Daphnia pulex: one gene and its partner. Each later gene encodes a partner of the first gene's protein in a complex. Links are inferred from orthologs where the notes say so. Each region holds a gene or a part of one and is shown on either strand. Other genes may lie near its edges. The genes, in order: transient receptor potential protein-like and calmodulin.

Evidence for each region.
Region 2: the proteins of transient receptor potential protein-like (region 1) and calmodulin are in contact, whole or in part, in a crystal structure (PDB 7CQV), measured with the Drosophila melanogaster proteins. The link is inferred for Daphnia pulex from reciprocal best matches to the Drosophila melanogaster genes trp and Cam. Residues at the interface, in NP_476768.1 of Drosophila melanogaster: Gly804, Lys805, Met807, Glu808, Arg809, Ile811, Leu812, Asp814, Phe815, Gln816, Ile817, Val820, Glu821, Lys824; in NP_001246276.1 of Drosophila melanogaster: Glu12, Ala16, Leu19, Phe20, Lys22, Leu33, Val36, Met37, Ser39, Leu40, Gln42, Glu48, Asp51, Met52, Glu55, Val56, Ile64, Phe69, Met72, Met73, Lys76.

The regions. Positions count from the first base shown.
Region 1 is NC_060025.1:8,989,361-8,993,281, reverse strand, and holds the start of transient receptor potential protein-like, read left to right. Parts: upstream 1-812; 5' UTR 813-902; coding exon 903-906; exon of another isoform or gene 907-927; intron 928-974; coding exon 975-1,048; intron 1,049-1,094; exon of another isoform or gene 1,095-1,112; coding exon 1,113-1,231; exon of another isoform or gene 1,232-1,995; coding exon 1,996-2,236; exon of another isoform or gene 2,237-2,308; coding exon 2,309-2,451; exon of another isoform or gene 2,452-2,514; coding exon 2,515-2,716; exon of another isoform or gene 2,717-2,724; intron 2,725-2,793; coding exon 2,794-2,967; intron 2,968-3,045; coding exon 3,046-3,280; intron 3,281-3,342; coding exon 3,343-3,495; intron 3,496-3,567; coding exon 3,568-3,713; intron 3,714-3,915; coding exon 3,916-3,921. UniProt on the Drosophila melanogaster protein: A light-sensitive calcium channel that is required for inositide-mediated Ca(2+) entry in the retina during phospholipase C (PLC)-mediated phototransduction.
Region 2 is NC_060018.1:7,623,673-7,627,596, reverse strand, and holds the start of calmodulin, read right to left. Parts: upstream 2,477-3,924; 5' UTR 2,235-2,476; coding exon 2,232-2,234; intron 1,665-2,231; coding exon 1,490-1,664; intron 1,202-1,489; coding exon 959-1,201; intron 294-958; coding exon 265-293; 3' UTR 1-264. UniProt on the Drosophila melanogaster protein: Calmodulin mediates the control of a large number of enzymes, ion channels and other proteins by Ca(2+). Among the enzymes to be stimulated by the calmodulin-Ca(2+) complex are a number of protein kinases and phosphatases.

The DNA of each region.
Region 1 (3,921 bases):
GCGGCAAAATAGTTCATATGTATAGGCTATAGACGTGATCAGCGGCGATGCAGACTATTATTACTACTCCAGACTATATGTAGCTTCACGTTCCGTCACGGTTGGCGAACGTGAATTGATAGGCCGGCCCACAGTCCGCCTGTATACATGTAGGTTTCTCTGTGATGTGTCCATGCAGATACTCGAGTTACTCCACCCTTCCAAACCGCATACAAATTCCTCTCATCATTCTCAGCCGTATAACCATGTCGTGGATGAATCTACTCAAAAAGAATAAGCCTTGACATGGAGGAGCCATCTCCTATACTATATACATATACCCCACCGGGTGTAACTGATATAAAATCGATCACGAACGACATGAGAAGAAGGAAGTACATATAAAAGAAAAACAAAATAATAATAACAAAACAAAGCAGCAGCATTTTATAAGCGCATAACTGTGCCCCCCTTTTCCAGATTTCCCCGGGAAAAAAATACCAAAATGGACGAATACATCAATAATTTCGATCGTGATAAATCAAACGATGTACATATAGGAAGGACCAAAATATAGCCGGACAGCAGATTGAGAGGGGCCACTGTTTTTGAAGGGCAGCCGGGGAATATCTATACGTGTTCTGATAGAAGCCACCACCATAGAGTAATCCTTTTAAGTGAAACATCGGGACAAAGAAGAATGGCAAAATTCTAAAACTAACACACAGGAGAGTATGTTGTGTGTGTGTGTAGATAGAGCTGACGCCTAACAAGATTAGTTAGTCGAAAATAGCCGAATGATTCCACCGAAAAACGAGGAAGTATGTGGACGAGTTTTGCAGAGCCTTCAGTAGCCCGGCACGCCAGCTGGCCGCTCGGACAATCCAACGAGTCCGTCCGATCCTGGATGGTAGGCCATCATCATGTGTAAGTATCGCCTTTTATTACCTGTGAATGTTTTAATAATTTAGAAAGTTGAATCTATTCCGGTGCAGCGAAAAGAATGGAAGGAAAAAAGAAATCGGATTCTCGGGAGGGTCTCATCTCCCGAGACTCGCAGCAGAGCCTGGTATTAAAATGACATAACTTTAATTTTTAAAAATGACGAAACTGACCTTGTGACCATGCGACAGATAAGTATCAAAGAAGATCCGCAGTTTGTGATGGGCCCGCCCGTCGAGTCGATCCTGAAAAACGAAGAGAAACGATATTTGCTGCTGGTCGAGCGCGGTGATTTCAACGGAGTCCGCAGGTTGGTCCCAAAATTCCATTTCCTTGCAAAAATGGCCAATTCCGACCTCAAACTCAAGTGCTAGCTGCGAACCAACAAGAATCCGATTTCAACTCAATGTTTAGTCAGTCACACGCCCGACCGATTTGCCAGTTCCATATCCTTATTCACAGCTAAAGCCCCTCTCCCAAGGAGAAAACTTGTCCACCCTTCTCCCCTCCCACATATTTAAGCTCGAGGACTTCCGAGTAAGACTCAACAAGGAGCGCTTTTCCTAGTGTCTACATAAATACTACTGCAGGGACCCAAAAAAGAAAAGAAACCCAACTTTTTTCTTCCTTTTTTTCCCGCGTGCAAAGGCACGCGGAAAATCGAATCATCAGATCCAGCAGGAAACAGATTTCTTTCAATAGAGTTCCCTATTTTTTTTTCTCTCCTTTTGGAAAATCTCCTTCATGCACCAACTCCTTTTTCTCCGTCAACTTTTGAGCGGATGAAAAACAGCCATTCCTAGAATATCAGTATAAGAAACAGTCAAAACCCCCTGACGTCCAGTTTGTTATTTGCTCTTGTCGCTATTGACCTTAACACAAAAAAAAGGAGAAAAGGTATTGCATCTGCAGAACGTGACACTGAAAGCGCATTGTCCTATTTGTTCAAGACATGGCGAAGGTCATATATCCTATATCTTAAGGGATTAAGTGAATCCTACATCTGCATAGCACCGAATTTTGGTTAGAGGAGCCCTTTAAAATTGGAACAAATAATTTGACAAAATTCTACAGCTTGATAGAAGACTACAAGGATCGCCCAAACGATTTGAACCTGAACTGCACGGATCCGCTGGGTCGTACGTCGCTCGTTATCGCCATCGAAAACGAGAGCTACGAGCTGCTTGAAGTCCTGCTCGAAGGTGGCATTAAAGTGTCTGACGGGCTCCTGCACGCCATCAGCGAGGATTACGTCGAGGCCGTCGAGTTACTTCTTGAATGGGAAGAAAAAAACCACAAGGATGGCACTCCTTACGTACGTCTAGACATTTCTATAATCGCTGAAAGAGCAAAAAGGATTTCTCTTTTACTGTTTTTCTTCTTCTAGAGCTGGGAAACGCTGGACAGCGAAAATGCCACTTTTACGCCCGACATCACTCCACTCATTCTGGCGGCTCACCGGAACAACTACGAGATCCTGAAACTCCTGCTGGATCGTGGCGCTGCCTTACCTATGCCCCATGACGTCCGGTAATTACAAGAAAAAACCCATCAGGATCAATAATAATTAATGAATCGATTGTGATTGAACAGGTGCGGCTGCGATGAGTGCATTGCTTCCAGCAAGGCCGATTCTCTGCGTCATTCCCGCTCTAGGATCAATGCCTACCGCGCACTAGCTTCGCCATCTCTTATCGCCCTGTCCAGCAAGGATCCCGTCTTGACGGCTTTCGAGTTGAGCAACGAATTGAACCGCATGTCCATCATCGAATCCGAATTCACCGTCGACTACAAGGTACGGACCTAATTATAATTGACCAGAGTTAAATTAGAAGCAGATTAATAAATATTTCCATGATTTGACGAGGGCAGCAACTGGAAGAACAATGCCAAAAGTTTGCGACGTCTTTGCTAGACCATGTCCGAAGTTCCTACGAATTGGAGACGCTACTCAACTATTCTCACGACTCTGAAGAAGTTTGGGAGCCCGGCGACCGCCAGACTCTTGACCGACTCGAATTGGCCATCAAGTACACCCAAAAAGATGTGCGTATTATCAGGCTAATTATAATCGTCTAACAAATCATTTTCAAAACCCCAAACCTAACCTAACCCGTTCTAAAGTTTGTGGCTCACGCAAACGTGCAACAATTGCTGGGAGCTATTTGGTACCAAGGTTTGCCGGGATTCCGTCGCCGCTCGGCCATCGGCCAGATCGTCGAGACGATGAAAATCGCGGCCAAATTCCCCATTTACTCGATGCTCTACATGATTGCGCCAACGACGGAAAAGGGGAAATTCATCAAGAAACCTTTCGTCAAATTCATTTGTCATTCGGCCTCGTATCTCTTCTTTCTCTGTAATGCGCCATAAAATTTGACTACGACTGCAGCAATTATGAACTGATTCCCCATTATTTAGCTCTACTCGGACTGGCTTCTCAACGCGTTGAATACCTCCTCATTGAATGGTTTGGCACTGAATGGATGCAGGAAATCATGGAAGATTGGAAACGTCGCGAAAGGGGATCCATACCCGGACCTATAGAACTTTTCATCATGTTATACATATTCGGTTCGAATGACTCTGCGATTCTAACAATAAGCAACATCTGCAACTGAAAAATGTTCCTTCTTTGACAAACAGGGCACATCTGGGCGGAAGTTCATTCATTATGGTCCGACGGTCTAATGGAATACATCACGGATTTATGGAACTTGATTGATTTCACTTCAAACAGCTTCTTCCTGGCTTGGATATTTTTACGAGGTGTCGCCTGGTTCATCGTTCAGGTAAAAAGATGAAGTTGGAAAAAATCAAATAATTACAACTCGGAAAGAGAGAAAAAAAAATCAATTTCCTGTTTCGACTGACTGACTGACGTCTGAGCGAAGCCTCAAAAATAGTGTTCAAGATTACACACCGCACCGAGAGAGAGAGAATAAAGTTGTCGTGTACGTATGAGTAATCTAATTATCTGGGGATACTACGTAGAGGGAA
Region 2 (3,924 bases), on another chromosome or scaffold:
TTTGAAACAGAAATCTGGTGATGTTATTTTCCCTTCACAAAATGGATGCCGCCCTCGAAAGATCAATGACAACTGGCTTATTTTCTTTTTTTTTTTTTCTTTTTCTTGTTTTGCGTATCGTCAGCCGGGTGTTGTTGTAGTCTTACAAACAGTTGCTTTGAAAAGTATGGTACGTTTTGTTGTTGATTGTTGTTTCGGTAAACACAACCACGTCCACGCTACACACGGCTCACTGGGGAAGGGGCACGACACCGCAGGATTTATTCATTTCGAGGTCATCATGGTCACGAATTCTGCAAAGATAAGAAAAATCGTGTTAGTATCATCGATTCCACTATAAACTAGACAAAAGTGGGGGAAAATAGGAGTTGTCCTGCATCGACTATCAAATTTTAAAACGTCTTGGGAATTCAGGTCACATATTAAAGGACCAGGTTGGACTGAATCTTTACGACGAAAGACGATGAATATTTTAGAGGTAACGCGCTAATTTCGGTTTAAAATCGATGCATCATCATGTTTCTAACACCAAAACTGTTTGTGAATGCCTCCAAAATCAGATTAAAATCGGATTAGGTTAAGCCATGGTTGTTAAATAGAAAATTTATAATTGAGTTACGTTGTCACATTGACATTTGTCACAGAGTCTAGAAATTATGCGTCTGTGTACCAACAGAATATTAAAGGTGCGTCTTTGATAGTTTCTAGACACATGGAACCAAAAGCAGCTTTTTAAATTAATATTTCTACTTCCATATTCCACATTATTTTTTGGTCCATCTGGGAAAGTATGGGACCCGCACGTGCATGCAAGAACCTCCCTAAAAATGTGGATATCTGACTATTTGTAAATGCAGGGCTTAGTTAAAAATCTAAGGGTTTAACAGGCGGACAGACGATGTCGACTGCGATAAAAGAAAATTGGATGCAGGTGAGCATGACATATCATAGTTTTTACCTTCATAGTTAACTTGGCCGTCTCCGTCGATGTCAGCTTCGCGAATCATTTCATCGACTTCTTCGTCGGTCAACTTTTCTCCTAGATTGGTCATGACGTGCCGGAGCTCAGCAGCTGAAATGAAACCATTGCCGTCCTTGTCAAACACACGGAAGGCTTCTCGAATCTCTTCCTCGCTGTCGGTATCTTTCATTTTGCGAGCCATCATCGTCAGAAACTCGGGGAAGTCGATTGTTCCGTTACCTTTGGATTAGAATGATAAGAACTACATTAGATTTCTGTATGATTAGAAACAAAATGAACAATAAGAAATGAACGTGGTTCAAAACAATTTTCATTGATATTGAAAACATGCAGCCAGTATTCTCATTCAAGAAAAGTTCTGCGAGCAGAGAGCAGATATTTCAGGAAGTCTTTTGACTGCCAAGAATCAAGCAGTCAAGCCACTTAAGCAGCAAAAACAAACTTGTCAGAATACTTGATAATCTATTGGAGTTGCAATAAATTAGAAAAATTGAATAATGTGTGTACCATCAGCATCAACTTCATTGATCATGTCCTGGAGTTCAGCTTCAGTGGGGTTCTGTCCAAGCGACCTCATGACAGTTCCCAACTCTTTGGTGGTGATGGTGCCGTCACCATCTTTGTCAAACAAGGAGAAGGCTTCCTTGAACTCAGCAATCTGTTCTTCTGTCAACTGGTCAGCCTGTAGAGGTACAAATGTTTCTGGTTAATATAATTGTCTTGAGAATTCCAAGACATTTCAACATGAGTAATAAAGAGAGAGCCTTGATTGGTATTAACATTGCTCAAACCAGACTGTGTAAATTTGCCCTGAATAAATCTAGCAGTACCAACTTTCTCTTTACTACTGGCCTTGTCTGGTCAGTGTGCAACCATATTGTTTGAGAGCTTCAAGTCTGGTTGTGTGCCGAGCTTAAATTGACGTGTGCAGCAGCAAGCTGTTACGAGCTACTCCAAAATTAGAAAAGAAAGAAGCATTCGACATTTCGAGGGCGATGACGGCCAAATTGCCCCCTGTTTCAGTACAACGAGCCGGCAATGTCAAAAGCGACAACTATCTGAGAAGAAAATAGGAAAAAAGAAAAAAAAAAAGAAAAAGGTCGTTTGATTTTACTTCCCCCTCCCCCCGACCCACCCGACTCTTCTCCAGTCATAAAATCTATATTTCCGTCAAGTGTAGGCTAGGCACTAAAAATGGCGGAATTTTCGTGTGCCGGTTGGGAGAGGATGCCGACGTGGAAGTACTTACCATAGTGGATATTATTGGATGAAATAGAGAGTTGTCGGGGAAAAAAACTAAGTTATCCTGGACGACGGGGCAGGAGAGAGAGCAAAGGCGGTACCACAACGAGCAGCGACGGGGGACGTTCACCAAGCACAACAGACGACAGCCAACTGAGCCGAATGCTCGGAGGAAGAGAGAGAGTGGGAAAAGAGGCGGGGCCCGACTAGAGGCGCCACATGCACATTGCGGAGAGGAGGAAGAAGCCCTTTTCTCTCTCTACGTATATTGACCGGGTATAGCGCAACCTTCTTACTATTTCGAATCCTCAAAAAATAAAATAAGTTGACTTTTTTTTTTCTCTCCTTCTTTTACCGTAATTCTTTTTCTAGACTTTCAAAATCGGGAGTCATTGAGCAATGCGGTGGTACACACACACACACCGTCAGGGACGGATCAACTCCGATACAAGTTGTCATATGGCCGTCCCAGCGTCGCAGTAGTATGTATGCAGCACAGTAGACGTCAAGAATGATGAGTATAAGCTCTAAGCTTTTCTATATACCGTCAGTCCATATGAGTTTCGGGTTTTATTATATATATGGAGAGACCATCAGCCCTGAATAGAAATGATATTGCGCTAGAGTGGCGAATGTTATTTGGCGTAATTGCAAAGGCTCGGCGTTATGCTTGACACGCTTCAGTGCGAGACGGAATGTTGTTGACCTTGCTGCTGCTGCTGCTGCTAAACTATACACATGTCTTCTCTCAAAGACATCCTATATATGCGTGGGCTATATTGGTTGCCAATGTTATAAATTCGTACCAACTCTCAGACCGGAAATAAATTCGACCATTGTTACAGGGCACCCCTGTGGGTAAAGTTGGGGTTTTTTTTTATAAAAGAAGTCTAGCCACCAAACTAATAGAAAATCTACATCCTTTTCAAAAGGCTAGAGTAAACTCGCACACTATGGGAAATTCTTGATTTTGTAACTTTCACTTTATACATCCGCCTTGGAGATGTAACATCAAAAACGAAAGTGAGATGTTTCAATGAGAAAATATCATCAAATGAAAGCTATTATTGTAGTACGAATAATGGGATCTATTCAACTGCGCCCCAAAACGTGTCTTTTGTGTAAAGTGTGTACGTATTTATTCATTTTCATTTCGAAACCAAATTCCGACTTAACGTTTCAATCAATCCGCACAAAGTAGCTAAAGTTGAAAAAGTTGGCGCACACACACACACGGGGAAAAAAGGGAAGGAAACGGAATAATGTGCAACTTGTGTTTGCCGTTAACTGAATTATGCCGAAATATCTGAGTGTAAAGTCAAATATTTAAATTCCATCATCGTGCAGAAAGTGTTGGGTGCTGCAGACTTTTCAAATGTAATGCAATTAACTTTCCGCATTGGTACGACATCGCGCCAGTGAAAATAAAAAAAAGGTACGCGACGAATTCGTTCACGCAAGTCAATAAAATGGGAAAAGTCATTGGTAAAATCTAATTTCTATTTGCGGCGGACAAATCAAATCGACGCGAGACCAAAAAGGGTCGGGCGGGTGGGGGGCGATCACCACGGAAATTGTTTTCACTGGTCTTCTTGTTACACGCTGTAAAACTCTGTACGTTAGAAATTCCCCTGGGAACGGCGGCTGGTCCAAAAAATAAAGAGTCAACCGAAAAGAGAGATGACGATTCAGTTGGAAAT